Schizosaccharomyces pombe: one gene and its partners. The gene in region 2 interacts genetically with the main gene of each other region. Each region holds a gene or a part of one and is shown on either strand. Other genes may lie near its edges.

Region 1 (12,914 bases), on a different chromosome or scaffold from region 2:
TGGATACAAAAGACTTTGTTTCCGCACTAAAGGCAATGGCCCCATGTGTTTTGTTGAATTTGAAAACATTCCATACGCCATGGAAGCCTTGAAGAATTTACAAGGTGTTTGTCTTAGCAGTAGCATTAAAGGTGGTATTCGTTTGAGTTTTTCGAAGAACCCATTGGGAGTGCGCTCATCAAGTTCATCGCATAACAACCATAATGGAAACGTTCGTAACCTTCACTCTGGTTCCATGAATAATTACAATACAGACTCTTTGCTTAATCATACTGGTGGACATAACGAAGTCCACGCCAGTCCCAGTTGGGGTAATAATCTAATGTATGGCAAATAGCTCATCTAGCATTTTCTCGTCTTCATTTTATCATTATTCATCAATACCTTGCAAGGACTTTAGGTCCAAATTTTTTAAGCATATTGTTTCTCTTTTTTTTTTTTTGAGTTTTGCATATTGATTCTTTGTTAATCAAAAGTTGCGATCTATTCCACTTTGACTGCATGCAACTTTAACCATCTGTTAAGCTTAATTACAATTTGTCGATTTATGCGATCTGTTTTATTTCACTCTTATATAAGATGGGTACTTGCATTGTTTAGTTGTCATTAGGATTTATCATTTGCTCATCATTTCCATATACTTCTGCTACACATATCAATTTACATAATAATATCGACTTTTGCTTCTAAATGAACCCATCTTAAATTGCTAAACAAGTACTGTAACAACTTGGTTAGATGTATTTTTATTGTAACACCCAACTTAAGCTTACATACAAGAATTTTTAGGATACATTGATAAGCAAACACTTAATCCTTTTATAAATATTAGTATAGTCTAGGTGAATAAAATATTTCCAACAAAAACTGTATAATAGTAATCCCGTCCTTTCCCTATTAAGTTGAAATTGATTTACTTTTTTTAAAATTGCGAGGAACTTTAGGCATGCTTCGTCCTTTTCACAGGCGGCTGTTTTGAAGTGCTGTAATATTCTGACTCCGATTCTGACTCTGAAGAAGTTTCAGAAGTTTCCGAATCCAAACTTTGACGTTTCGCAGCTTCATCTTCGACATTTTTGGGTTCTGAATTGCTATCGGCCAACATAGCTACCATACAGGTAATTCGATTGCCTTCTGGAATGTTATGCTCAATTACTAAGTTCCAATCTTTATCCCATATACATACTGAACCATCCGAGCTTGCAGTAATTAAATAATCATCAACAGGGTAGACAGATTTGACGCTAACTTGATTAGAAAATTTTGAATTTTTAATTTGTTGAGTATAGAATATAAAAAGACACTTACCGTTTCTTATGCGCCGTAAATTCATGTAAAATCTTCCCATCAGAAGTATCCAAAACCAGTACTGTTCCATTATCTCGTCCAACTATCAATTTGGATTGATAGAGACACAAAGCGTTCAATTGAGATTTAGAAGAGAAGCTGAAAAGGGAAGTGAGATCCTAAAAATGTATTAGTAATTTATAAAAGAAGGAGGAAAATTGCATATAGAAAAATGCATAAATTCTTACCAATTTAAAGGCATCAATGCCTCTTCGTGACATAATAACAAATGACGACTCATTCAGGAAAAGAATAGATTCTGGGATAGTGCTTAAAGGTAAAACTTTACCTCCTTTACCTCGTACAAGGTCCCAGAGCCGCAACTTTCCATCACCTCCAACTGTTAGGGCCAATTTTTCTGAAGGGTGAACTGCTATACCAGTGATGCCCTTATGAGAAGATGACTTAAGAGTATGAACCAACAACCATGAACCTTTAGACCACATACTGATTTGCCCGTTATCATGACATGCTAAAAGGTGATTTTTAGTAAAACACATATCTCGGATACATGCATTGGCGATATCTGTAGGAACAGAAACATCGGCTATTTGGACGTTACGAGTGTGATCGAAAATTCTGAAACGATGTTAGATTATGCTTAAAAGGATAATTAAATACAAGGAAGGAAGAATGAAACCATTTAAGTCCAGTTTCATAATTCCAGTTGCAAATAACTTACTTAATTGTTTCATCACTGCTAGTAGAAGCCAAGTAAATACCGTCGACAGCTAACGCGGTTAAAGCTCCTTCATGAGCTTCAAAAAGCCACAAGGGCTTGCATTTTTTCCTCTCAATGTCTGCATCAACACCGTAAATGAGGTGAGTATATGTTCCAACTACAAAACGGAGCATCGGTGACTAAAGTATGACAATTGAAGCCTAAATCCAGTTATACAAAACCCAAAGTAAGTTATAATAAGCACCCGATCCTTTTGCTTTTTCTATTATAATTTAATTGAGTCCTAAACCACAAATTCTCAAATACCAAGTAAGAAGGAGAGAGTAGCAAAGAATTTGCAGGTGTAATGAAATTTTAAAGTAACAGCAAGAAGTTTCACTTTATGTTTTTCTTCAAAACCAATGAAGAAAGATTTTTAAATTGCTGAAATTGATTATAGAGAATGAATATTAATAATAAATACCTTATTTTGTGTGCTTTTGGTCTCAAATTGATCAGATTGCTAATGTAAACAACTAGTGTTTCAAAGTAGCAAGCTCAAGGAAGAAAAAGACATACAGTAGCTTTTACTTAAACAAAGAACCTTCCAAGCACTAAATCTTTTCTTGTTTCAATTTTCACCCTGCATGTTACTGGTATGGTTTCATCAAATATTATTGTAGCGAGGTTTCAGGGATTAGCAGCTCCATTACAAATGTTCAGACATGATCTATATCCCCTTCTTTATAAGATTATATATCTGAACAGTTTCACATAGATTTATTATAAAGCAATAGAAACTGAGGTCGAGCTTTCGAAATCGAATAATTGTTTATAGATTTATTTTTTTTATCTTGAATATTTCCAAATTTTATTTCAACATTTATCAAAATCTGTTCACAAGCGTATTTTCCAGGTCATACGTCCGATTGCAGAGAAAGAGTAAAGCAGCTGACAGCCCCAAGGCAGAGCGGACCAACAAACATTCTCACGTTCTTCCATGCAATATGTCGTAACTTAGAAGAAGTTCGTAAATCGTTTACTAAATTGAATTTATTTACTTTTTACAAGAAAAACGAGTTGCTCTGTTGTATCGATAAATAAAATAGAGAAATTCACAGGTACTCATAATATAAAATTTCGTTACTGTAGTGTTTGTATAATGATGTATTGTGATAGATTTTTGTCACATAAGATTTTGGTGTGATGTGCCTTATTCCATTCGTTTCTTTATCAACGTACAATCGCGCTATCTTCATATAATAAATCGGCAAATTCCAGTAATAAAAAATAAGGATTTGTGCTAGTAATCACTATTGTACTTTATTTGAAGCCTATTTCTGCCATGAGTCCTTTTGGGGCAGTATAGGTAGGTAAAAAAAGTCAAAGTCCCATCATGCTCTTTGACAAACTCGTACACTTTAAGGGTTGTTAGGAATATATATAATAAATGTTTCTAATTCCCTTCCTCTTAAGTTTTACGTTCTACAGTTTACATTTCTATCCTACGAAGAAAGCAATTAATTATGATTGACATCGGTAGGGACGACGATATAATTATGAAGCTGCACCGATTTTTATTACCAAGGTTCTTCAAATTTTTTAAATAGCCTCTAATATATTATTGAAGAGCTTCATTCTTTCAATACTTTGTTAAGTCTTTTGATGCTTTCCTCTTCAAATCGAAAAATTCAGCGCACGTCGTTAACGAATTTTAATGTCTTCATTAAAATGCACAAATATACGTAAAAATAGTTTAATGTCTTCGGTATCTATCGTTGTAGCGGTTTATGTGTTGCTGCCAATATCCTTATATAGAGTAAACAGTCTTCCTACCATGCGTGTCTGAGTCGTCCACTAATTCAAACAATTACTCATGTTTCTAGGGCGATTGCTATTCATTGAGTAGTTTGAAGAAATTCATTCTTTCCAAATTTACTTTGTTGCTCCATGTTTACTTATTTTCGCCTTTTGCTCGTTTCGTCTATTTTCGTATGCTCATCATTTTTATGTCAGTTGTTACTTTGTCCACGATTTATGGTTGAAGTAAGCTTGCCCGGTCGATTAACGATAATTTATAAAATCAAAAGAATCAGTAGTTCAAACCAATTTGCTCAAGAGCGCTACTGTTCTTGGATCGCCACCTTTCGCTACTTCTTTCTTCTTATATCCGATGTAAGAATCTTCTTGTGGGTAAAAACCAACTTTCAAAGCAAAGAGAAACACATAATTGCCTGTCAAAAACGAATTTTATTAATAAACAGTAATTCACTACTAATTTTGTTTTGCCAAATTTTTCGTTTTCCATCTTACTTTCTCATTCCCTCCAAACTTCTTGTTTAATCAATTCTTCATACACTCTTATCATCGATTGTATAACGTCTTCGAACGCACTACGCTAATGAATTTTTCCTATATACTGAACACGTCAGTTTACTTCCATCGTCCGCAAGTCATCGTTTTCAACGCGAATGGTCTATTCTTTCGTTTCTTGTGATAATTGACTGTTCAATCGGCCTTAGCTTTATACCGAAATTTTATAAATCTATTTATTCAGCTTAAGATTTCATCGTTCAAGTCGATATTCTCTTTGATACCCTCTTTTGTCTTTGTTTGTTCCTTTTTCACACTTGCTGAGGCCATTCCTCACGATATTTAGGAGTTACGCTTTACCTAACAAACCATTTTTTGTCTACCATTTTGACACTCATTTTCTTTGTTCATTTCTTTCGCAACTCACTTCCTTGGCGAAACTGGTGGTTTTCGCCTGTTCTACTCTAGCTAGCTAAGCTCCCTCTCCCTGTGCATTCTTAGCCTACCTCTTTTTACCGATACAACGAATAGCGCTCCGTATATATCAGTTTGCCAGCTTGCGGATCGCCTCGGAATTCAAGTATTAGATATTACCAACTAACTTTGTTTGTTAAGTGAGAATTACGTTCTTATCATTCATTACGGTAGAATCGGGATTTTTATAAGCAGGCCTTTTTTTTTCCTTAATTAACGAGGATCTACCACTGATCACTTTCATACTTCCTCATTCCTTGCGATTTTGACATTTGAGGAATTAAAATTCCTTTTGGGGCTGACTGTTTCGCGGCGATTTTCATTTGCCGCCTAACTCTTTCGCTTCTGACGGACCAGTCTTCTTTTTTTTCCTTTTCTTAATTTTGTTGGTTTTTCGTTCACTTCTCGAACCACAACCTTCCTTAATAAGACGCTTTTTTTATCCGTAAACATTCGTTTTCCCGTTTACTTCTTTCTTTCTTCTTTTTTTTTGGGGTTTCCTTCTACTTATCTTTTGGATCGTTTCCTGATATCTTTAAAGGCAACCGTTTTTATCAGTTGGGGTCTACGTATTTAATTTGGATTACGAATCTTGTGCCTCGTTTCGCCTTAGCCAGTCTTTCTTTGCTAGCGACTTCTTTTTTCGTTCGATCTCATTGTTTCTTTTTATATTCTTTATTTTTTGTTAACCCACTGCTCCTTTAACTTTTAATACTTCTTTTCTCACTACCCTTTTCGTGTCATGGATGAGGAGTTTGAAAATGACTTTCCTTACAAGGTGATGCTTAATCAGCAACAGGATCCTTCTGATGCGCAATCGAGTCCTACATTTGTTCCTTCTGCAAACCCTTCCCTCACCACTCCTTGGTTACAAACCACTCCCTCTGCTAATCGCCCCACATGGCTACCGTTACAGCAGCACATGCATCAGCTTCGACACACTGGTCTTTTACCCGCCGTTGAATCGTCCTTTGTTCATGGCCATCGTCGAAGTGCTAGTGCTGGCGTTGGTATGGGCAATTTTTCCAACCAAGCCACTATTCCTTCTAATTCTCCAGCCGTTTCTAATATGCAACCACCGACTCAAGGCGGTCAACCCTTATACCCTACTAATTTCTTCACCACTTCGGTCTCTGCCTCTTCAGATTCCTTCCCTAACAGTCCGACCGTTCCTTCAAAGTTTAGCTTAAATCCATCAGTTGCTACATCTACGAACATTAGTCCAAGGCGGCATGCAAAAAGCCATAGTGTTGCTTCTGTTTCCTCTCCCAATTCCCATAACGCCGTACCGTTTACTCCCCATGCGTTCGTTCCTCCAGTCAACAACGCATCTCCTTTACCAGCCTTGAACACTTTACCACAATTATTGCGCCCTCGTAATTTGGATGCTCAATGGCGTCCTTCATCACTTTCTCAAACGAATAGTCCTACTCATGCCGCGAATCCATCTTTTCCTGGGACTATTGTAACTCATAATACCTCAAACTTTCGTCCTGAAGGCGGTGGTCATCGTCATCGTCGATCGACTGGCAGCTTAAGTGTTGGCTCCTCTGGCTCTGGTTTTTCTTCGGGAGGTTCAGGTAATCCCCGTAAAAATCTTTTTTCTCCTTATTTACCACAGTCATCGATTCCTGCTCTACTCGCTGAGCGTCGTTTGGTAACGGGTATTTTAATTGTAAGTAAGAAAAATAGATCAGACGCTTTTGTTAGTGTCGATGGTTTGGATGCGGAAGTATTCATATGTGGTTCGAAAGATCGCAATCGTGCCCTTGAGGGTGATGTCGTTGCCATAGAGCTGTTAGACGTTGACGAGGTATGGGCTGGTAAACTTGAAAAGGAAGAGAATCGAAGGCGTAAAGACCCAATTTCTACTAGAGGCTCTTTTGACAACCTTCGAATTGACGCCGTACCGTTTGAGGTTCCTCAGAGGTCTGCTATAAAAGCAAGAGATGATGAACAAGTGGAAGGGCAGACCCTGTTCCTTCTTGACCAAAAGCAGCTTGGTGCGGACGAAAAGCCAAAGTATGCTGGTCATGTCGTAGCAGTCTTGCAGAGGGCGCCAGGCCAGGTATTTTCTGGTACGCTTGGCATACTTCGGCCAAGTAGTGCCGCTAATAAGGAGAGGCAGACCTCGTCGGGTAATCAAGGCTCTTCCAATAACTCGGGAAATGACAAGCCCAAAATCGTATGGTTTAAGCCATCTGATAAACGTGTGCCTTTGATTGCAATTCCTACTGAACAAGCACCCACAGACTTTTTGGGTAACGATCAAGCATATGCTCAACGATTGTTTTTAGCTTCTATAAAGCGTTGGCCTGTAACTTCTCTACATCCTTTTGGTATGTTGGTTGGTGAATTAGGATCTATGGACTCTATGTCTGCTCAAGTATCCGCTTTATTACACGATACGGGTGTTCATAGTGAACCATGGGAAGGATCCGCCGCTACATCCGCCGTAACTGCACTCAATGCTTTATCGGATAATTTTTTAAACGTTGCTGGTTGTGCAGATTATCGATCTGAAGATGTCTTTTTATTTGTTAAAAATGACGTTAGCAAAGCAGCCGTTTCAGAAGTCAAGCAACATGAATCAAACATCAATTCTAGTTCTGCTACTGATTTCGTTTCTTCTGCCTTTCATATTCGACCAACTTCAACTGGTTATCATGTAGGAATCCATGTTACTGACGTTTCTCGTGTTATTGAGCCAGGATCCCCATTAGATCGCGAATTACAGCGAAGAAGTATTGCGGTGAATCTTTGCCAAAAGTCGGTTCCTTTGTTTCCCACTACGTTAGGTGAGGCTTTATCTTTACGAGAAGATAAGGATTGTTATACAATGTCTCTCTTACTGGATGTTTCCTCAACTGGTAAAATTCGTGGCACTTGGATTGGATGGGCTGTCATTCGTCCTCGCAAGGCATATACCATGAAGGAAGCTGATGAGTTGCTTCAAACTGATGCTAGACTTCGTTTATTCCATACCGTAAGCAGTCGCTTACGAACTCATCATCTTGGTACAGACGTGCCACTCAGCCGGTATTGTAGGTTAGTACGTCGATGGGATGAAGAAAGCTGCAGCTTTGATCCCAATGAAACGAATCTTTTTATTTCCTCGGCGGTTGAAGTTTTACGTGAAACTCTTTTGGATGCCGCTAATAGAGCCGTTGCAAGCCACTTGCGTCAGGAATTCCGTGAAAATGCATTCCTTAGGACTCAGCGATTGCCCTCTCGAGAAAACTGTCGCATATTACAAAGTATGGCCATTCAGATGGGATGTGTTTTAGATTTGTCTTCGACAAAATCACTTTTACGCTCTTTAAGTTTGATCGAAGACGATACTGTTCGTAACATTTTGCAGCTTTATTATTATAAGGTTACCCCAAGAGCAGTTTATGAAATGCAGAAGTATAAAGGCAATCTCGCTTCCCAGATGATGAGTCTTGGTATTGAGGACGAAAGTGACGATTTGACACATTTTACAGCACCTTTGGAACGTTATGGTGATATTGTAGTTCATTATCAACTGCAGTTGCTTTTGAGAGGAGAACTGGCTTCTGAAAAGCGCCTTCGTGTATGGTCGCAAGCGGCAAACGATGCAAGCCGTCGTCTGGTTATAAGCAAATTTGCGCAAGAAACTAGCATTCATATAAAAATATTTAGTGACTGGGCGGAGAGTCAGGTTTGGCAAGACGGTCTCGTATGTTTTGTTGCTCCATCATATTTTGACGTATTTTTCCCATCTCTAGGCATGGAGAAACGTGTTCATTTAGATTTGCTCAATCTAACCCACGTAAGGTTTGAAGAGGACCAGGGCATTTTATCTTTATACGACGAGAGCGGAGCCGTTACAGTTGTTAAATTGTTGACCTCTGTCAAAGTTAAGCTCTTTGTGCAGCTTTCGACTCCACCTCTTATCAACGTTTCAAATGTCGAGTTTTGATGTTGAACTTCGATTGTTTGCAATGTTTATTTCATGTATGTGTTTTTTGGTGACACATGTTCATTTTCGGATGCCTGGAATGGCTTTATATTCTCATTCATATTATTGCTCTTATTATTAGGCATTGTTGATAAAAAATATGTTACGATTCTAAAACTGCATTTTTTCCCATTCTTACTTTTCTCTTTAATTTCGACGAAGCTGTTACTTACGTCTAATATTTGTTTCTGGAGATTTACAAGTTTTGCATAGCCAAGGAGCTCGAAAACTCGGTTTAATCTTATACACTAAGATGCCGATTTTTTATGTTATATAACTAAAAGGATGATTAAACTTGATTACGATAGTTCACGATGATAGAGTTGGATGAAGGAATCCAGTAGTCTCGATACGTGATTTTATGAGTGCATGAGTTGATGATACCTTGAACTTTTCCTTTTTTATACATTAGATTGGATTTTGTTTCAAAAATGAAATCCTGCTTTTATATTGATACATGTCACTTTGTTGGCTTACCAGTAGATGAAGTGTCGTTTGCGTTTGCAATCACTGCGGCGATTAGGCAATCAGAAGTGGATTCTTATCGGTCGTTTGGGGTTAGCTGAGTCTTTTATTTTTTGTTTCTTTTTTTAAAATGAATCTACTATTGGACGACATCTTAGCAATTTTCAGTTGATTTTTTGCAATTTAAGTTCATTTCTTACACAAAATATTCAAATTTATAGTTATGAAACGTATCCGGGATGTGTTAGTTACTCATGTCCTATTTTATGATATGAAAACGGCATAAGATATTAAAAAGAAAAGGATTCTACAAATATTCTTAGTGATTACTATTTTTCATTTTTAACGCTGCCTTGTTATATCGGCTTTTGTTTACCAAGTGTATTAACTCGATATCGAGTATATTTTGATGTATACGCATGCTATACTGATTATAAAAAATTATTAATCCACAAAGTCTTAGAAATTATGAGAACTAAATGAAATACTCTTTAAAAATAGAAAAAAAGTTAAAAATATTTATGTTTCAAGTTAAACAACAATGTAAGGTTCTAGTGGTAAAGTAAGTATGTTTATTATTAGGTCGCGACGCGAGAGTACTTCGTATTTTGACAACAACACACTAAAAGTCAGAAATCAGAAGGCTATAATTTTTTATAGCACTAGAGATTTTGGGTTATTTTATATTAGAACCTTATAGTTTAAGGGTATAATTGCTTTTTTCCAGTCCTTTAAATTGTTTCGGTCGATAGGATTGATTCATGGAGAAAACATATGGGAAAACTGTATTGCCATTGAGCAGAGTAAAGAGGATAATAAAGCAAGATGAAGACGTACACTACTGTTCTAATGCATCTGCTTTGTTAATTTCAGTAGCTACTGTATGTGTGTTGTTGATAAATCAGCTATCTGGGCGACTTAGCACCATTTTGATTGCATAAAAGAAAAAGAAAAATAAAAGCTTACCTATTTTATGATTTAGGAATTATTTGTTGAAAAGTTAGCAACAGAGGCTTATCAACTTGCCAAATTACAAAAACGTAAAGGAATACGATACAGGGACGTTGAGGACGTTGTACGTAAGGACGATCAATTTGAATTTTTATCAGATTTGTTTTCTATATAATTAAAAAGTGTGAGAACTGGAAAACGGAAGCTTAAGTGTTTCCTTTCTTGTTCAGAAACTTCCTCATGAAATGAAAGGAAACAATCATCTTGTCAGTAAAATGTGATTTAATGAATTTTATTTGAGTTTTCTTCTTCGTTTTCATGCTCTTGTGTCTTTTTATCCACAATGCGCATTTTCAAACAGCTTTATCAAACAACTACTGTAGCTATTTGGATAAAATAGAACACATGTTCTCTTAAATTGGGTTACCTGATTTTTCATGTTTCAATCATGACTAATTTGCGGCCTTTGTTAGCTACATCTATAAACAATCTTAATGATTAGGAAATGGTTAAACGTTTGAACTCGATTGAAAGATATTGAAAAGCTACCAGCGCCCATCTGTATATTCTTCATTTAATTCCTTTCTCAATATCATTTGGTTCATTTATTTAAACAAAAATGCAGAGAAGGTCGAGCTTCTTTATCTAATCCCAGCGATGCAGACGTATTGCTTGCTTCATGGTTATATTCTATACCTCCGCTACCTTGCCGTGATAATGCCGTAATCGTACATTACTATACTCGAAAACTGATTTAAGATTTGTTCTGTTCTAAATTTCCGACTACCGAATGAATTACGACACTCCACCTTGTTTCGTTAATACTACTCCATTACTAACAATTGCGCAAATACTGAAAGCAAACCAGAACCAAGTAGAAAAAATGTCGGTTTACTCATTTTCAGACGTTAGTTTAGTTGCAAAGGCACTTGGTGCATTCGTTAAAGAGAAAAGTGAAGCTTCTATTAAAAGGCATGGCGTGTTCACTTTAGCTCTTAGTGGAGGAAGTTTACCAAAGGTTTTGGCTGAAGGATTGGCTCAACAGAGAGGTATCGAGTTTTCCAAATGGTAAGTTAACAGATATTATATACTTTTGAGTTGTATGGATTCACTGTGGTTTTGTTTAGCTTTGGTTGACGTGAAACACTCTGTCTTAAGGCAATTTATGATTAACAGCTCTATTTAGGGAAGTTTTCTTTGCTGATGAAAGAATTGTTCCTTTAGATGATGAAAACTCAAATTATGCGCTCTGTAAAAAGTTGATTTTTGACAAGTTTGAAGGATTTGACCCTAAAAAAATTCATACCATCAATCCTGAGCTTTTGAAAGAAAATCCTATTGACCCTCAGAATGTTGCTGATGAATATGAAAAACAATTAGTGCATGTGTTTGCAAATAGCTCCACTGTTAAGGTCCCTGTGTTTGATTTACTGCTGTTAGGATGCGGTCCTGATGGCCATACATGTTCTCTATTCCCCGATCACGAGGTACTCCAGGAAGACGTTGCTTGGGTGGCCCCAGTCACTGATTCGCCCAAACCCCCTAAAGACCGCATCACTTTGACTTTACCGGTTGTCACACATGCTCAAGCCATTGCCTTTGTTACCACAGGTGCTGGTAAGAAGGATATTTTGCCTATTGTCATTGAGGATTTTACATCTAAACTTCCAAGTGCGCTGATCACTCGAAACAATTTGACTCGTACAAGCTGGTTTGTGGATGATGAAGCATCAGCCAATCTTGAGAGATCCTCTTTGAAGGTTTTCCCTCAATAGGCAGTTCAATTTAAGCAGGTGGCCTTTAGAATGCTTAATTGCTACATGCTTCGGATTCATTACTTGTTTCTTTAAGGTCTTTCAAGGGAAAGGTTGCAGTTCTCTTTTGTTGTTCGTGAGATTCTTTGCATAAACGCTTTAGATAATGACTTTCAAAATGCTTTCAGTCACTTCCGTGGAATGCTTGATGACCAGTTTTAACACATGTTAGTAGATTAGGAGAGAACTTGTTCCTCAAATCCTCTTTGCATTTGTTGTCTGTTTTTTATTTTAGACTAGCGTATAAAGGTTAGTCTTGTAAACAATGTGTAAGAAGCTAATGCTTTATTAAATTGTTTTATTGCTTCGTTTAGAATCATGTTTAGTTGATTGATATCACTGGCCAAACCCACACTGCAGAAATATGATGTTTTAATGAAGAAATGAATCATTGAAATATATAAACTTAAGCTATCTTGTATCATTTTTTGTTGGTGATAATGTTCTAAAATGTGTTTCATCAACAAGATAAAGTAAACCAATTGTTTTTGAATTGCAGTGATATAGTTTAGCTTCAATTCTTTTATTAAATCATTAATTCATTTTTAAAATTATGCAAAATTACGGCATTTTCTCATACTGCTTATGATAGATTTTAAGCAAAGATGGAAATTTATATCCAAAAACATGCAATTGCTTAAACTCTCCTTTATGTAAGGGTTTATTAATACTTATGTGTTTTCTACAGATGGCAACCTTCTGATTAATTATCATTAGGTTAATTTGTGATAGAAGCTGTAGTGATCTTAATTACAATAGTTTACATTATAGCAAGATGTTCGACATGACTCAATAGACTAAAAATTTTTTTTCTTAGCATATTCTTCAAAACTGTAGGTCTTAAAAACAGTTTTGTTAGCTTAACATCACCTTAAGTCGTTAGTCATCGTAGAGGAGGCACTTGATA
Region 2 (10,440 bases):
CTTTCATAGTAAATAGGTCTCAATAGTTGAACTCGGCTTACCATACTAATTCTGACCAAAAAGTATGATGCTTATTTTTTATATGCAACGCTTCACAGCTTAGTAAGAAAAAGTATATCACAAGTCATCCTACAACCTAATTTAGAAGTCAAATTGGTTAGGATTGGGGTGGGGAGTTTATTTCTGATCCATACTATTTACTACATCTGCAAAGTATTCACAATGACAATAAAAAAAATTATTTCGAAAAATGATCCTTTGATAAGCATCCTAAGCTCTCCTTTAAGACAAGACTTGGCAACGCACTTTTTATTTCCCAGAGGTAATCTTCTTTTTTAGTTAGTTTTAATGTTCGGCTTACTGACAATATAGAGCTATTAGCGAAGTTTCCTGCAAGGAAGGATACAAATCCTCGAAAATTTTGTTTGTTGCCATTAGAAGGAAAAAACCATTTACATAATAAACATGTTTCTTTATACTGCTTATTATCGGATAGATACTTGCAACCGCCGTCAAAGCGCATTTTCAAGCGCTGGAACATGGAATTAAATAATTTGAATTGTCCTGATATAAAAAGATACATACTTGAGTCATTACAGGACTCTTTGTTAAAAGAAATATCCTCATTAAAAGAAACTTCAACTCAGAATCATTTACATTGTAATGATATTAAAATTTTACAAGATTGTCTAAGGAGACCTAACATTTCGAATGGTGGCATATGGGTGCAATGGAATTTAGAAGAAATTAATCAATTGAAAAAGTTTCTCTCTTTTAGAAAACTCTATCCTCGTCAATCGTTTATATCGTTGTTACAAATACTGCCCGAGCCCTTTTTAAAATCGCAATTGAGTCATACGCTACCAGTGGGATCTAAATATTTTTTTGTTCCTTGCGACAAGAAACATCATACCTTGGGGCTTTTGCTATGGAAACTTTTTTTTCTCAAAGATATGCCCGCTGCGTATTCCTCATAGAGTCGAATGACCATTGACGAACTCTTTGTTCTCGGGAACAAAGAAAACACGAAGACAATGAAAAAAGCAGATTTTTGAAAGAAAGCTTAGAAATATATTATGTCATTAATAATTTTTTTGTTTACTTTAAAACCTGGCTTGGATCTTCCTTGTTCGTCTTTTCAAGCTACTTCCCTTCATAGCATCGCAAAAAGCCATTTGAGATAATTCTGTTGTGATTAAATCTCCTTAATTTTACTTCAGGATTTGCCTATATTTTTGCTTACTGAAGGCTTTCACGAACGTCAAATAATTTACCTTTTTTTAAAAAACATTCAACCTATTCATTCAAAAAAACCAGTTGACGAAAAGAGTTTTTGTATCAAGGACAAACAAACATCTACATTTAATCACCATGCTGTTTCTTCATTCAGTTGTACAAGGAACTGGAACTCTTTGCACATTAGCTGCATGGATTTTACTTGCACTAGTAATGACAGGTTGCCAATCTAGTACCACCTCGAAATTCCAGTTGTTTTCTCTTGCAACTAACGTAGCCCAAATTAACGTTGGGTATTTTAACATGTGTGTACTTTCTGCTAATGCGACGCTGATCTGCAAACCTCAATTTACTGGTTGTCCTGGGTTGACTTCCATTAGCTTAACGGATGTAAGGTCTAAATTTCTAATCAATGAAGTTCACCCTTGGATGATTGTCTTTTCATTTTGCGTATGCGGTGTTTCATTTCTTATGGGTGTTGTTTCCAGCCTTCCCTTAATAGGGCGTTTGGAATTCCTGAGAAACATTCGTATAAGCCTTTCTTTTTTCTCCTTTTTTAGTATACTAGTAACTGCTTTGTTTGCTCACGTTGCTGTCTCCTCTTTTGTGATGGCTGTTGGAAATGGAACACAAAATCGAGTTACTGCATCTCTAGGCAAAAAGGCTATGATCTTTTTATGGTGTTCTATGGGACTTGTGACATTAACAGGTATCACGGATTCTATTATTCTTTTGGTTACTTCAAGAACCAAGAAGATTCGTAAGACGATACTGGAAAAAAGCAAAGTCCTTACCCCTAGTTCATCCTTTTCTAGCAAATCCTCAACAACAAAGTATTAAATTATGCGCCTCAACTATTATTGTTTTGAGAAGATATGACCTTTCTCACCTTGTTATATTACATTATGGCAACTGTATTCATCTGTACTTGTTTTTTGTTTTTACGTTTTTTCACGTTCCGCTTTTTTTATGATTTTCTTAACGCCTCTTTTTACGATTAATCTCATCTTGGTTTATTTATGTATATGTTTTCACACTGCACTTTACTTCATTTCTCTTTTGCACTCATTTCTACTTACCGCACTTGAAACTTTCATGTCAAAAGCTCATATATTCAAGTCAAGATAAAGCTGTTTAATATTTCATTATCAATGACTAATATCGATTAAAACAATCATATACATTCTCTTTCCATAGTCTTTTTATTTAGAACCTATATACATACGCATCTTTACAAATTATACATTCTTCAATTGATTTTTTGCATAAATCTGATCAACTGTATACTTCTGTAACAGTTTTTTCGTATCTTACAATCGTAGCTGATAGAAAGAAATTAAAAGAGATATTAAATGATTTCTGCCTTGATTATTATTCAGTAAAGCAATTACACACTCTAACTCCCTTTTGCGTTAGTTCCTACCATCAATAAACGAAATTTTTGTAATGATAGATCAACCCTATACTTCGGAGTAGAATGTAGCGTCTTAAGCATAATGATGAATGTTGATCAGATACTTTTAAACTATCGTTTACCGTTTTTCCAGAAGCATTTCATTTTTTAAAAAATTTGTCAACCGATGACGGTATTTATTTTTTACGAAATTTGAGTTAAGTTAATGATTTGATTAGCGATGTGGAAAGATGCATGTTTGTTCCATCTGCCAAATTGTGCTACTGCTCACTGGTCAGAATAAGCGTAGAATAGGTTGAGGAACTAGATGACACTGTAATTATTTTTTTACATTTCTCAAATTGTAAAGACAAAGCATGAAAACTGCTTTGCTATTGAAAACCAAATCACAGCCTTTCGATCCATATGTGGAGGCCTTTGAAAAATATGGAAGAGATACAGCCTTCATTCCTGTGCTGAGACACAAAAGGGTTCACGAAGAACAGCTTAGAGATAAATTAAAAAACGTTCGTAAAACTTATTGTGGTTTAATCGTTACCAGTCAACGAGTTAGCGAAACTCTGGATGAAGCATTAAAACAAGAAGATGAAACGGAGAGGCAGAAAATATTGATGGAAACACCAATATTTACAGTAGGTCCGGCGACTGATGATAGTATTCGACGTCTCGGTTTTCAGCAAACACATGGAAAGGACTGTGGAAGGGGTGAGGTTTTGGCAGATTTAATTGAAGAGTGGTATACTACGACTAAACAACATAAGCCCTTACTTTTCCTTGTAGGGGAAAAGCATAGGGATATAATTCAAAGAAAACTGGGGGACGACAGAGTAGATTCATTAATCGTATATGCTACGCAAGAATTAGAAAATACAGAAACCCAAATAAAGGATACGATTAGAAAACATCCTACAATTGATTGGATTGTCGCATTCAGTCCGACATCCATTTGCTCTTTATTAAACACATTTGAATTAAAGATCGCAACCATTGGACCTACTACTGGAGATTATCTAAAGAAGCTGGGAACTCAACCGAACGTTGTATCTCCAGCACCTAATCCAGAGAGCTTGGCATCCAGCATAGTTGCCTTTGATGAGGAGAATTCTAGTTGAAGCTTTTTATCTGAAATTTACTTCACGAAATATTAAGGCCTTCAATACCGGTATTTCGAGATCTTCTTTGTTACAGTATAAATCGACGAGGTTGGGAGGCATGGGGGATGCTGTAGGCTCATCACTGGCATCATGATAAGCAGCTACATACGGGTGCTTTAGAGCCTCTTCTGCAGTTATACGCTTATCAGGATTAAATGTCAGTAATTTTTCTAAAAGGTCAATAGCATCTGGTGATGCCTGAGGAAAGAGTGCTTTGAATGATACTTTAGGAGTAAATGGAAGACTTTTAATATATTTCCTCGCACGTGCAGATTTAATTCTTGAAAAATCGTCCATAGTAGGCGTTCCTAGAATGTTAAGGATTAAAGTAATTTGACTATGATAGTCCTTTCCTGGGAACAATGGTCGAGCAGAAAGCATCTCAGCAAGTATACAACCAGTACTCCATAAATCAATAGCTTTGCTGTATTCTCGGAAACTCAGCATAATTTCCGGTGCTCGATACCAACGAGTTGCGACATACTCAGTCATAAAGCCAGGATTTCCGCCTTGAGCTGTGGTGGAACGTGCCAAACCGAAATCGGCAACTTTGAGATCACAATTGGCATTTAGTAGTAAGTTTGATGGCTTCAGGTCTCTATGAACAACTCCAGCACTATGCATGGCTTTCAGAGCGCGCAAAATTTGATACGTAAAGTATTGACAATGATCATCGCTTAAGGGCTGCGAACGTATAACACGGTACAAATCCGTTTCCATAAGCTCTTGTACAATATAAACATCTTCCAATTCCTGGTAGCTCGGTGGTGGAAGGATGTCTAGAATTGAAATTATATTTTCATGACGAAAATGTCTGAGTAACTTGATTTCCCTTAAAGTTCTTAGACAAAACACAGGATGATTGAAAGGATGTATTTTTTTAACAGCCACCTTTAGGCCGCTGGGTTTGTGAAGCGCGGCACATACAACTCCATAAGCACCTTGACCGATGAGATTGATCATTTCGTATTCCTCTGGTAGCTCAAAGTTTAGATCATGCGTGTGTGGGCTTCGACTTGTAGCTACTGACTCCTTGTTGGAATTCCCATCCGCAATAGTAGGCGTGGAAGTAGCGCTCGCCATTAGACTACAAATTGAAAAACTTGAAAGAAATGAAGCGATATGAATAGATAAATAGAATTAAAAAGAATTACAACGTTCTTTGTAATAAATTATGTTATGCAATCCTTTGTGCTTTAAATCCGACAATATTGAAAAAAGTCGGTTTGCCAGCCAAAGACAGAAATAGACAAGGATGTATTAGAAATCCCTTTATCAAATTAGTTTAGTATTAAATTAAATAATGCGAAAGAAGGACGTTCGGCAGCACTTCAAAAACAGGCGCTAGCAACAATAATACAAATATTAGGTTGCAAGCTTATAAAATATAGGAATAACAAAAGAAATAGAAAATATACAAAAATCGTAAAAGGGAAGAATTTCAAAAAACCAGACAAATGTATCTTCGCAATTGAGATTAAAGGCCCACAATGGTTATTCAATAAAAAAATGATGCTTCAAATATTGCCAAGCAAAGATGCCTTGAGGGAATTGCAAAAGCGTCCTTCAAAACCGTCTCTAGCAATTTCTCAATTGCCCTTCCAAAACTGTTGAAAAGCTGTTGGTAATTGTTAAGTAGTGTGGTTGGACTAGTCAACATTTATAACTTACAATAACAAAGAAAGTTTCTTTGTTAATGTATTGCCCCAGAAACTTCATAGATACGAATCTTTAGACAGAATAAAGAAACGATGAGTGACATGAAATCAAAAAAGTAACACACATTTTAAGTGCGCGACGCGTCGCGCATATTCTTTGTTTACACTAACTTACAAACCTTCCATCTACCACGACAGAAATTAAAGGCAAAGAAATGCAATATTTTAAGACTATCTAAATCGAAATAATTAATTTACAAGGTAAGCAGAAACAATTGGTTATGCAAGGATATTTGAATGGGTTCTTGAAGAGGTTGAACAGAAACCGTATGATGGTTGTTTAATTTTATGTTCTCGTAATAATAATCTTATGAAAGTTTAAAAAGCATGAAAAAAAATAGATAAATCCGTTGAAACTCTCAAACAAAAATAGTTAAACATTCATAAATTTCCCTTGGCGTCCTTACTTCATCATGAATTGGCTAACCCGTTATTAGAAGGCATTGTAAATTAATGATGTTAGCTATCGACATGACAATAAATGAAAACCAGGGAACACGCTCAAATTTGGAAAGTCCTACACTTTCATGTAGCAGTAAGGGTGCAATGCAAGAAAGAGACGTTATGTTTACAGATCACAATACCTTCAATATCACTAATAATAAATCTCGGCCTGGAAGTTTAATGAAATCTATGAAAAGAAAAGATGTTTACGAATTTGATGAAGATAATGAGTTTGAGTTTGAAATGGGGTCACTTATACATAAGCCTTCACGTGCTCACTCCTTAGGAGGAACTAGTGAGCCTGTGTCAGATGACCATAAAGATTGTATGGAAGCTACACGACAGTTATTGGAAAATAGTCCACTTTCCTCTGTCGTTGTCAAAACATGTAGTGATCATGCATCAAAGCGTAAAATTGCGCGATCCTCTTCTGACGATTCTGAAAGCAAAGTTGAAAGCACAAACTCTTTCAATGCAAAGAAAAGAAAGGATGCATGGACAGAGGAGCATGAAAAGTGGTTTCAAGCAAGGATTGATGAATTGTTAACGATTCGGTCTATATCACGGGAGCAAATGATCGAGATATTGGAAGACGAACATGCTGGGAGTCGACTTCAAGGGTTTTTAGAGTCAGTAGCATCTTTTCTGAATCGAAAAGAAAATAGTTTACTAAAGTACATGCGTGCTTTTTTTCAAGTCGCCGGTTACGAAAAGATAGACATTGGAAGCTTGGCTGCTGAAGAGGATTCGCAACTTAATTTTTCTCTAGAAGACGCACAAGTGATTCAAAAAGTAGTTTTGTCTTATTGTAATAATGAAGGCGTAGATTTACAAGAGTTTGGCTTCCGGATGAGTTCTTCAAGCTTAAGACATACAAATATCAACTTTCTATACAACGAACTACGCGAATTGCTGCCTACTTCTATTTCAAGAAAAGGAATTATTCGTTATTTGAAGGAAATCTACAAGCCGTTGGATCCGAAAGATAGGAATGCATGGGAGGAAAGTGAGCTAAAAAAGCTGTACACCCTAGTTGAACAAGAGGGAACGCGGTGGAACAGCATAGCGAACAAACTGGGAACGTCACCTGCCGCGTGCATGAGTCAATGGAGGTTTGTTGTAGGTACTAGTACTCAGGAAACAATTGATCGGCGCAAATTATGGACGAATGAAGAGGAAGCAAAGCTATTAGACTTGGTAAAGTCTTCTTACCGGTCGTCTTTTCACACAAAAAAAATGACAAGCCTTTTCACACACAATAATCACACTACTTCAAACATACAACGGGAAATACCGGCATCTGATTCCATTGCATGGCATAGCATATCGAAGAAGCTTGGGACTAAGTCGCCGGAAAGCTGTCGAAAACAGTACGAAAAAACAATCGCATCTTATTCTTCTAACCAACGTCAAGAGGAGGATCAAGGGAAGAAAAGGAAGAAGAGAAAAAAGAAGAAATCAAAGGGTAAACGCAAATTTTACGTCGCGGATAGTTTAAAACTACTAGAACATGTACAAAGGCAATGCGGAGAAGCAATCTCCATAAATGCCATTGATTGGAAAGGCATTGTCAAGCAAATGCCAAAATGGTCCGAGGAGGAATTGAGAGCGCAAGCCACAAATTTGGTAGCGAGTGTTCGCGGCTGGAAAAAGACACGTTTAAGTGAGAGTGTGAGAATCGCAATTACAGATTTGAAAAGTCTTCCTCCTGACGTATAATAACAAATATTGCAGACGAAACGTTAATAAGTGCGCAAGAAAAAATAGTCAAAAAATATCTTTTTTGCTGGTATGTCACGTTTGCCCAGGTCATATTGAATGTTTTTCTTGGCTGTCTCAATTTTCCCACACAATATAATGATATTTCTCATCTCTTTTTGCGACAGGGGCGAAAATAGTTGGACTGCACTTCAAGAGCAACCGAACCCGTCTACCTGCAAAACGTACCTACACAAGAATTCTGCAGCATTAAAGTTTATATGGCAGAGCAATGGAGAAGAAGAGTGAGTCACCTGGTTCCTCTCCACATACTGGATACTGTTGATTTAGGTTCATTTGCGAACCCATCAATCATTTTACTTCTCGACATACTGTTGCCAATCTAAATTACTTTCTTTTCATACTTGTTCCAATTGCTGGTTACCTGATATCCTCTCTCGTCTACCTTAATCCGATTAAGTGCGATGTATTTGCAACATGCACGTGTGCATTGTAACCAGCCTCATTCCGAGCCTTTCCGCTTATTTATTTATTAAATTTTTAATGTATATTCGTTATTTAATTAATATCTAAGCATGGATCGTATGGTTACTAACTTATTTCTTACTTCATCCCTGATAATGACGGATAATAGATGCAAAAATGAATGGTTTGGTGGTGGCCAACGAAACAATCGACACTGCTACGGCTCTACTAAAACAAGTCACGTTCAACGGTTCATCGGCTAATATTAACTCAAAAAAAAAAAAGAATAAAATAAGTATAGTTCGGGGTCCGAGATTTCTTTGATAGTCCCTTGGACATTCTATTTTAGCATTTCAACTAACAACTGAAAGGGCCGGAAAATCTTTGAAATTTTTAAATCTGTTTAACTCATCCCAAAGTAATTGAGTGTCGGAAAAGAAATGGCCCGAACGGTTTTATGAACCGGTCCCTACTAAAGAATAACAAAATTCAAATATTGGAAAGGCAGGTTTTGGTTTTGAACGCAGTTGTTGGATTGAAAATATATTCCATTGTACTTTGTACTTGATAATCAAAGTAATCTTGTTGTTGATCATTAAAGGCGTATCAACAGTGTTGGGGAAAAAGTTTACCTTGAATCTTATCTAGCAGCGGAAACTAAATAATTATATTTATTAAATTGTTAGACCAGCCTAAAACTATCGGGATTAGCGTTGGGTAAGGGATTTACGGAATATTTACCGTATTAGGTTTTTTTTGAGTTTTAAAAATTTAACTCGCTAACATAACCGAAGCCTCGCACATATAAACTATCTTTCAACCTACTTGACTCAACTTTTCCTTCACCAACCGCAGTGTTGCATTAAGCAGCAAAACGTTGTCACCTTCGAATAGCGTCTTTTTGACGAATAAAAAGGTTGGACAACAAAATTAAATTAAGCAAATTTGTGTATAAACTAACAGCAAGTGAAGTTGTACCGGTTGTATGATTGAAGCATTGTAAACCAAAGAACAGCTACTTTGCCTTGTCGTACATTAGCTTTTTCCTTTGCAAAGAACTTTTAGGGACCTTTTTTTACCACAACTAGAGAACCGGTGTAGAAAGGTGTTCTATTTTAGTGAACGGATTCGTTTAATTTTTTCATTGAGAAAAAAATTTGATCTATCTTGATTTTTTCGACTGTTTCCATTTTTAACTATTTGTGACGTTTCTTATTGCCAAATTTCAACCTTGAGCATTGTTAAAAAAGCTGAATTTAAATTTCTTTGCTTTTAACATACAAGTGAGCTATTGGGTTTGTAAAGATTTAATACTTGATTGGAAGTTTTTTTGGTCAAGTCTGTTTTTTTTGGGTGTTTTTTTGACGATCAGTTGAAACCGCGAATAATAATATTTATTATAACTCCCTAAAAAAAGAAAGAAAATCATTTATTAAATAATTTTTACTTTCCTTCATTGTTTCTGAATTTTGCTTCTCCCTGCCGTTTAATTGTTTCATTTTCTTTTAGAAAGTACTAAAAGGTAATCAAATCGGCTAGTCTTGCAACTGAATTTTCTTTGAAGATAATATCTAGATTTAATTTTTCCCTGCTTGAATTTCCTAAGATCTTGCGTTCGTTCGGACTGAATTGCATAATTTATTGAAGGTCTCCATTCCTGTATACTTACTCGACTACCCATTTATCGGTCAAGCTGTATATATACACGCACAGTCAACTTATCTTCTACTTATATTTATAAAACTATTTATTTTATTTCTCTTTAATCCGAGCTTCGTTAGTTGATTCTTTTGATCTTTGCATTGGTAACTAATCCAGTGCGCTTTTTTTTTTGAATCTTCGTGACAGCTATTTTCTGATTTTACTTCATCTTCAAACTACGATCTGATCGGCTTTGCCTTTCGTCATGCAAACTTATACAGGTATCATTAAGACCCCGTTGGATGCGATTATCCTTTTCGAGGCCTGTCGAATTGGTCTTCTTCCACGCGTCCAGCGTCGATTGTCCGACCATGAAAGAAGCTTGATACGAGCAGGCAGTGTTTTTGTGTGGGATGAACGGGAAGCTGGAATGCGCCGTTGGACTGATGGTAAATCATGGAGTGCTTCTCGTGTCAGCGGTTCATTCTTAACCTACCGAGAAATGGAGGGTAAACGTAAACCTTACCATCACGGTCTTTCCACCGATGGTTCCCTTAAACGCTCTCCCTCTGCAGATACGACTGGTAATAGTTCCCTAAATGCTTACAGCAATGAGGACAGTGGAGCCGCGAGCTTGAGTGATGAAGAG
Region 3 (6,878 bases), 2.3 Mb from region 2:
GTTCAAAACATTAGATTTAGCAATTTTTTGTGCCATGGAGGCTCTTTTGAGCTTCATATCGTAAGTTTGATCAATGGCATCGCATTGTTCTCTAACAATTTTGGCCTTTTCCACTTGGAACTCCTCTTCACTCAGAGTGTGGATTTCTTTGGCCTTTTCAAGAGCTTCTTGCTTAATAAAGCTCACCATTTTGTGCATCTCTGCTTGCACTTGTTCATCCGACAACGACATTTTGCAATACTAGTAATGTGGAAAGTCTATAAAGATTTGGTAGTGGGACGTGGTTTAAGTCGTACATCAAGCTATTGTACCTTCCACTGCAGCATTTTGGACGAGCAGCTAGATTTGGGAGAGATAGCGATATCCTTAAACTAATAATGTTTCCTAACGAAACTAAGCTTTGCATTCAATAATAAAAAGTCCTTGTACAAAGTAATATATAATGTAGCTAGTCCTAGTTATTTTTCTTATTTAGTAAATGCTTTCAAATTTCACATAGCTATTAAACAATTTAGGCCACAATACTGCATAAAATAAAGGAAAGTGCATTAATTAGGATTGAAAAAATTATGAAAATTAGGGTGAAATTAGCGCTAAGTTGAATTGTAAATTAATAAAGAGTAAGTATCAGGAACCAGCTAATAGCTGGAATTTAAAAGGGAATTTGGTAGCTATTTTTTGCGAAAACATCAAATGGTCTTGTAGATAAGGAGATAACAAAAATGACTTTCTATAAGGGAATAGCTGGAATTTTGGGATATTAAATAAGGAGTAATAAATTAAATTAAAAAATAGGCAATACAGAATGGCATCAAAATTCTGCACAGATACTGAGTCAAACTTAGTACAACAAAATTTGGAGTTCGTGACAAATACTGGTTCACCGCAATGGTATGTCAGATTGAATTTATCTCCGTAAATGATCAAATTGATTGTGATCTATATCAGGTAATGAATAATAGGGAACACCATTCTGTGCTAAGTTAGGATCGACATCTGGAAAAGACGATGATGCTCCTTCTGAACTTGTTCCCAATCCACTATTTGGTTCAAAAATTTTGGCATAGAAATTTATTATTTTTTGATTACCACGATACTGCCGTTCCTCAGTCTCAATGGTGGATGGAACAGCAATACGACTAATAGGTATTAACGGTGGTCGATCGCGCGGGGGAAAATTCAATGGAGATGATTGAAGGGAGTCTCTGATTTTGTTTTTCCGAGGAGTTTGGGGTTCGCTTCGTGTAGCAAAAGATTTATTTAAAGATCTCCGATGCTTATATGTCGAGGGTGGGGAATTTACAGAATGTTGTCCAGTAGTTTCGTAATCAATGCCTGTAGAAGGAGAAAATATCCTTTTACCTTGCTTTGGAAAAATTTTCACTTCTCTGGAAGCCGGTTCTGGTGGTAAATTAAGCGTACTTGAACTACTAGTTTGAGAAGTCAGCATTGATAAAGCAGGTATATCAACATTATTTGAATTATAAAAATCAATTGAGTGATCGGCAAACATTTCTGGATGTTCATTAGCTTGAAAACCCTCCAAATTTTGTAATCCATGGTCAAATTGTAATGTTTCATGAGTTGGAGACACTGAGGAAAAAAGCTTTGAGGCTATTTCTTCTGCAGAAGTCTTCGAAAAATTGTCAATATCAGAAAAAAAATTTAGATTCTCTATGTGACTAGGCCCATTTTCTTCAGATATTCTCATTTCTTCATGATCTAAAGGATAACCCGATTCCGAATCGCTGAGCTGAGCTGAGCTCTGTTTCGCTTGGGACGCTTGAGATTCTATGGTAATTAGTTTAGTTATTTTTATAAAAATGAGCATATCTAAAATAAACGATTTTTTATTTTTTTTATTTTTTGAAAGAATATCTGTTAATTATTGCAGCAAGAAAAACGTAAACAAATTGACGTCATTCAGTAAAAGCGCGACTTATTACTTCGCAGTGTCGCGTTCGTAAACAAAATTGCTGAACAATCGAAGTATTCTTGAAAGAAACTCGAGTCGAAATTTTTGTAAGGATAAAGAAAAAATATTAATATTTTAAACATACCATTTTGATCTGTGGTTGCATTGATGAGACTTTCTGTTATCAACTTTTGGCCCTCAGGTGATTTTACAACATTTTCAAGCTTTGGGGTGGAAAATGTATGCACTAATCCTGTTTCTGAAACAACCAAAACCATTACTTCGCTCCCGGTCAAAAGAGCTAGTTCATTTGCCTAATAATTATTAGAAAAACAATACATTACTAAAAATTAAATTTCGCTCTAACTTGAAATCTCACAATTGCCAGGGATTTTTACCTTTTTAAAAATTCCAGCTTTTCTTTTAGTAAAAGTATTTTGCCTTTTTTGTCTGTCTTCCAAATAGCTATTTCCCTGTGAACTTCCAGTATACGCTTTCTCACCATCTATTTGAAAGTTTGAAAGCTTTCTTTCATCCATCATTTAGAAGGTAAATTGTCGATTTTTTAAACAAACTGACACACTTGAAAATGTGTGTTTCTTTGTTACAAATTGTAAAGTTCAAGTTAGGTTAAATTTCCTAAATTCCAAGTAACTTTCATTTATACCTTATAACGAACTTGGAGTTCGTTAAAATTCGGTTATTACACTAAACAAGATCAAACGTTTCACATTTACCCAAATTATAACAACAACTCATAAATAACAATATTGCCAGTGGTAATTATTTGCTTTTTCTGCTCTTATTAAATGAGATTAAAGTGATTTAAATGGAACGTTTGAATATCTTTTACAGCATCTAAATATCAAATTTGTAAATTATTGTTAATTGAACCCAGTATACTTATAAAATAAAATCACACTTGCAATTTACGCAATCATAAATGTCTTAATAGACAACATTGTAAAAATCATTAAACTTTTTCCAAAGACATATGCTGAAATTGGCATTTGCAACCACAACCGCTAGAACACGACTGTGATATAGAATCACCGTTAGAAAACCACTCCTTATAACAATCTTCATGCATAACATGAAGGCATAGTCCGCATACGATGCATAAACCGTGAATCGACAAACAACAAAATGTGCAAGACATACGGGGTACCAGGCTATAGCATTTCTCGCAGATACGAGTATTAGAAGTCGTGGAATTGCAGCTATTGCAATGATTTACTAATGTCTTTTCACTTGGTGAGGAAAATTCGTGAGCGTTAAACTTTAGCATCTCTAACTTTGGTATGAAAAATCCCCATAAATCAAGCTGTTCAGCATACGTGGCACGCCATTGTATGAATTTCTGTTGTAATAACTTGGTATATGCAATTTCTTGTGCATCAACAAAGTCGTTGTTTTGTTTATCATAATCCATCAGCTGTAAATGTACCGTACTGGTTGCGGAAAAAATCTTTTCTTTAGAATATGTAGAATCTGCATCCTTTGGTTCTTTTTCTCGTAATGCTGTAATCTGTGCTAATGAATGGCTAGATACCTTTTCTAATATTTTGGTCTTTGGGAGGTTGAGCTGCACACCTAGTTTTTCGGTAACTTGTTTAGGTTGATTGAAAAGAACTTGATCAGCAGACGTATTACCTGACTGTTTCTTAGGATTAGGAATGTCCAAAACACAAGCAAGCATAGCTAGCATTTGGGTATTGCATTGAGAAGCATAATAATCCAGTAAAGAATTAACCACCCACTTTGCTAAAGGGCTCTTAAGCCATGGAAATGCTTCCTCGTCATTAATGTGGTCTTTGTTTTCAGTGCGTGATAAATGACCAAGAAGTCTACCTAACATTAACCAAACTTTTGCCAGGCGATAATAATTATGCTTAGCAGATACCTCAGCATTTTTGTTGCATACTGTAACTTTATCTCCAGTATCAACAACATATTCAGCAGCCAATGCTCTTTTCACTGGGAGATATTTGCTCATACTAATAATCCTCACAACATGAAAATCATGAGAAGGTTTAGAAAGTAAAATTGAGGGTCTATTAGAACCTTTTGTCGACGGGCGTTTACTCATGAAGATGTCAGCAGCCCCAAATCTGGAGCCCATAATAGATGCAGATGCAGAGTTTATATTGTTTAGGTTTATGCTGGTTTTGGATTTAGGGAAAACAATTGAACCTGAATTAGATTCATCAACGTCCCAAATAAACTCACTATCCGATTCAGATGTGCCACCTCTATTTAAAGAGTTCTCGTCATCGTAATTTGTTGAGTCTGAATCTGCCACGCTGTTACTACTATCTAAAACACCAAATGACTCAAACAGCTTTTGGCGCCCGTGGGTTTCGCGGTTGGCAGTTGCCTGTGCCGCACTTTCATCGGCTTTGATTGTGAAAAAGCACACCAACTCATCATTACCACAAAATATAGCTGCACAAGTTTTAGGAAGAGGAATATTTTGATGCTTATGAGAGAGGCCGCGATCTCCACCTCGAAAATCGGGCATAGAAGGAAAAACATCTTGGAAAATATCGGCAGAGGACTCAGAAGATGAATCAGAATTATCTTTTTGAAAGCCTAGCTTCCATATTTCATCGACACTTAGATTGCCGGACAGATAAGATAGGCATGCATCCATGCAATATTTATGGGAAGAAATACATTGGTCTGAAATTGATGTTAATGTATTAAAAACATAATTAAATTGCTCATCATTAAAGGCGCTTGATCTTTCTAGTTGAAACACTGGAGTTGCAGATATAGGATAATTATTTGGAAAATACACATGCAACCTAATATAAGCATAACCGTCATCAGGAAGAATGGGAGCATTTAAAGATATTGTGCAAGTCCTTTCCGCTACATCAATTTTCTCAAAGCTAACGTTGGAATACTTCTGCCCAATCCAAGAAAGTTCTTCTCCAAGGTTTTGAGGAACTTCCCAATCAGCATTACCTAACCGACCCATAGAAATTCCCCGTAGCCAATTTAATGGAGTCATGGGATTAGTTGATTTAGTGGATCGAGTCATAAATCCTGAAGAGCCAGGAAGATTGTATTTAGATTTCTTACGGTTAGCAAAAGCGACAAATCCCCTGGATAAGTCAGATGTATTAGCACGTTCTGCACCAAAATTAGAATCGAACGAGTTCATAGCATCAGAGGAATCACACTCAGTGTTAATTAATGATTGCTTAAGCGGCTCACGAGAATAAGTACGATATTTCGCGCCTAACCGTGTTAATTTAAAAGGAACAGGTTTTGTTCGATCGTGTCCCATTGAATTGAGTATATCGTTACCAATAGGCCATAAACGAACATGGTGATCCTTGGACCAAGTGATCAATTGAAAATCTCTTAAATCTCTATCAAATACATCTTCGCCTCGACACCTCCAAAGAAATTCTTTAACTTGATCGGTATGACCGGCAAATCTATGTACAGCACGGGGGCCTTCTTTGTCTAAATTACGACAATCGTACATGTGTACGGAATTGTCTCCTCTCTGAGGCATCAAAATAACTCCGTCCCCGAATGGAGTAAACCTTGCTTTCCATACTGGAGAATCAGTGGTAATTAAATGCTCAGGCTCCTCTGTTGACTTTTCATAGTTCCAAAACTTAACTGTTCGATCCATAGCACAAGTTAATAGGCGAGTTTCACATGCTCTATTGAATTCAAGACCATTAATTTTAGTAATATTTTCGGAAGTTTTAATTGTATGAAGTGGGGCGGATCCATAACGATCGTCCCAAATCCTTACTAAACGTCCATGGCTAGAAGCAAGTATGTGGGGATTTTTATAATTCCATTTTACCTGAGTAGCTCCGTTATGCCAATCGTAAAAGGAGTTAACAGGAAATCGAGGACTACGCAAATCCCAACAGTGAACAGAGGAATCAATTGAACAAGTGGCAAGAACATCAGGATTTTGCCGATGCCAGTTCATATCTGTGACGGCGCGGGTGTGTCCATGTAACATAAATTCTATAGCACGATCATTTGGTAGTGCAAGGTTCCATACTATCGTTTTTTGACTTGATGTAGAAACCACCCATTGGTCTCTTGCGGCATGAACATTCCACTGAGTATCAGCAACTTCCCAAGGAGTAGAATGTCTTAGCATTCTTGGTGGATTATAAGGATTATCAAGATCTAAGACTAGTAAACCATAACGTGAAGCTAAAGCTATATCTCTACCACAAGGAGATAAAGACATAGCACCCACTGGTTGATTAACTTCAATTGATAATTGTCTATCAAACGTAGTACTATCAAAAGGGCCGTATTCCACATTGCTGTTAGAATTCGATGGTAACTGCAAGTCTTCATCTTCGGAAGGGATGATGACCGTGGAATCCATATTTCTTCGCAACCGACCAGAAACACCCTGAGAGTTAAAAGATATTCGACGAGATCCATAACTACCATCGTCAAAAGAAGAAGATGATATGGAAGTTAAACCTTGCAACCTTTGTGTCGGTGTTTGAGAATATGCAACAATGGTACTAGACCTTACACTTTCTGAAAAATTTGCAAAGGAGTTAGAAGCTTTTTTAATTAATATCTTAGAATCGTTTAGCTTATTGTCCAACGTTTCTGAGTGATCTTTAGAGATTGTTGACGATGAAGCTAGTTGATCACCGTCTTGTGCAGTGTTTGATTGAGCGCTTAGAGCAGTGGACGATTCATGGATCATTGATTCAAGACTGTCTTTCTCCAATTCAAAGTTGCATAATTCCCCGCTATCATCCATATTATAGTATGAAGATGGGTTTTCAGAATTAAATTGCTTATTGGGGTAATTCAAGGTACGTTCATCTTGAAGAGATTTCAATGAATGTTCATAATCAATAGGCGAAGAATTTTTTACAACCGAATCACTCGGAGGAGACTTTCTTGAAGAATCGTCTCCCTGTAATTCCCTCATCTTTTTCGATATGGGCCA

The links.
Region 1: of spk1 (region 2) and sts5, extra expression of one rescues a mutant of the other (dosage rescue), as found in Schizosaccharomyces pombe (one study listed by BioGRID).
Region 3: of spk1 (region 2) and map1, changing one suppresses a phenotype caused by changing the other (phenotypic suppression), as found in Schizosaccharomyces pombe (one study listed by BioGRID).

The regions. Positions count from the first base shown.
Region 1 is NC_003421.2:674,825-687,738, forward strand, and holds sts5 (Dis3L2-like 3'-5'-exoribonuclease), read left to right. Parts: upstream 1-5,010; 5' UTR 5,011-5,537; coding exon 5,538-8,738; 3' UTR 8,739-9,259; downstream 9,260-12,914. Other genes in the region: RNA-binding protein Scw1, read left to right, coding at 1-337; p21-activated protein kinase inhibitor Skb15, read right to left, coding at 941-1,244, 1,309-1,466, 1,536-1,926, 2,030-2,202; DNA polymerase epsilon Dpb3, read left to right, coding at 10,004-10,123, 10,225-10,368; pgl1 (6-phosphogluconolactonase), read left to right, coding at 11,077-11,261, 11,380-11,968. UniProt on the Schizosaccharomyces pombe protein: Required for the maintenance of cell shape during interphase. Required for localization of cortical actin to the growing tips before mitosis.
Region 2 is NC_003424.3:2,996,082-3,006,521, forward strand, and holds spk1 (MAP kinase Spk1), read right to left. Parts: upstream 5,438-10,440; 5' UTR 4,888-5,437; coding exon 3,769-4,887; 3' UTR 3,763-3,768; downstream 1-3,762. Other genes in the region: rrg8 (protein Rgg8), read left to right, coding at 223-322, 373-977; tetraspan protein, claudin Dni1, read left to right, coding at 1,372-2,076; hem4 (uroporphyrinogen-III synthase Ups), read left to right, coding at 3,007-3,762; RNA polymerase I termination factor, Myb family Eta2, read left to right, coding at 5,976-7,685; cAMP-independent regulatory protein Pac2, read left to right, coding at 10,057-10,440. UniProt on the Schizosaccharomyces pombe protein: Involved in mating signal transduction pathway.
Region 3 is NC_003424.3:5,288,374-5,295,251, reverse strand, and holds map1 (DNA-binding transcription factor, MADS-box Map1), read right to left. Parts: upstream 2,548-6,878; 5' UTR 2,458-2,547; coding exon 2,314-2,457; exon of another isoform or gene 2,230-2,313; coding exon 2,061-2,229; exon of another isoform or gene 1,984-2,060; intron 1,810-1,983; exon of another isoform or gene 1,792-1,809; coding exon 908-1,791; 3' UTR 501-907; downstream 1-500. Other genes in the region: vma4 (V-type ATPase V1 subunit E), read right to left, coding at 1-231; SEA complex subunit Sea3, read right to left, coding at 2,889-6,860. UniProt on the Schizosaccharomyces pombe protein: In response to mating-pheromone signaling or nitrogen starvation, it interacts with mat1-Pc. This activates the expression of one of two mating-type-specific genes sxa2 or map3, which leads to inactivation of the P-factor. May also interact with mat1-Mc.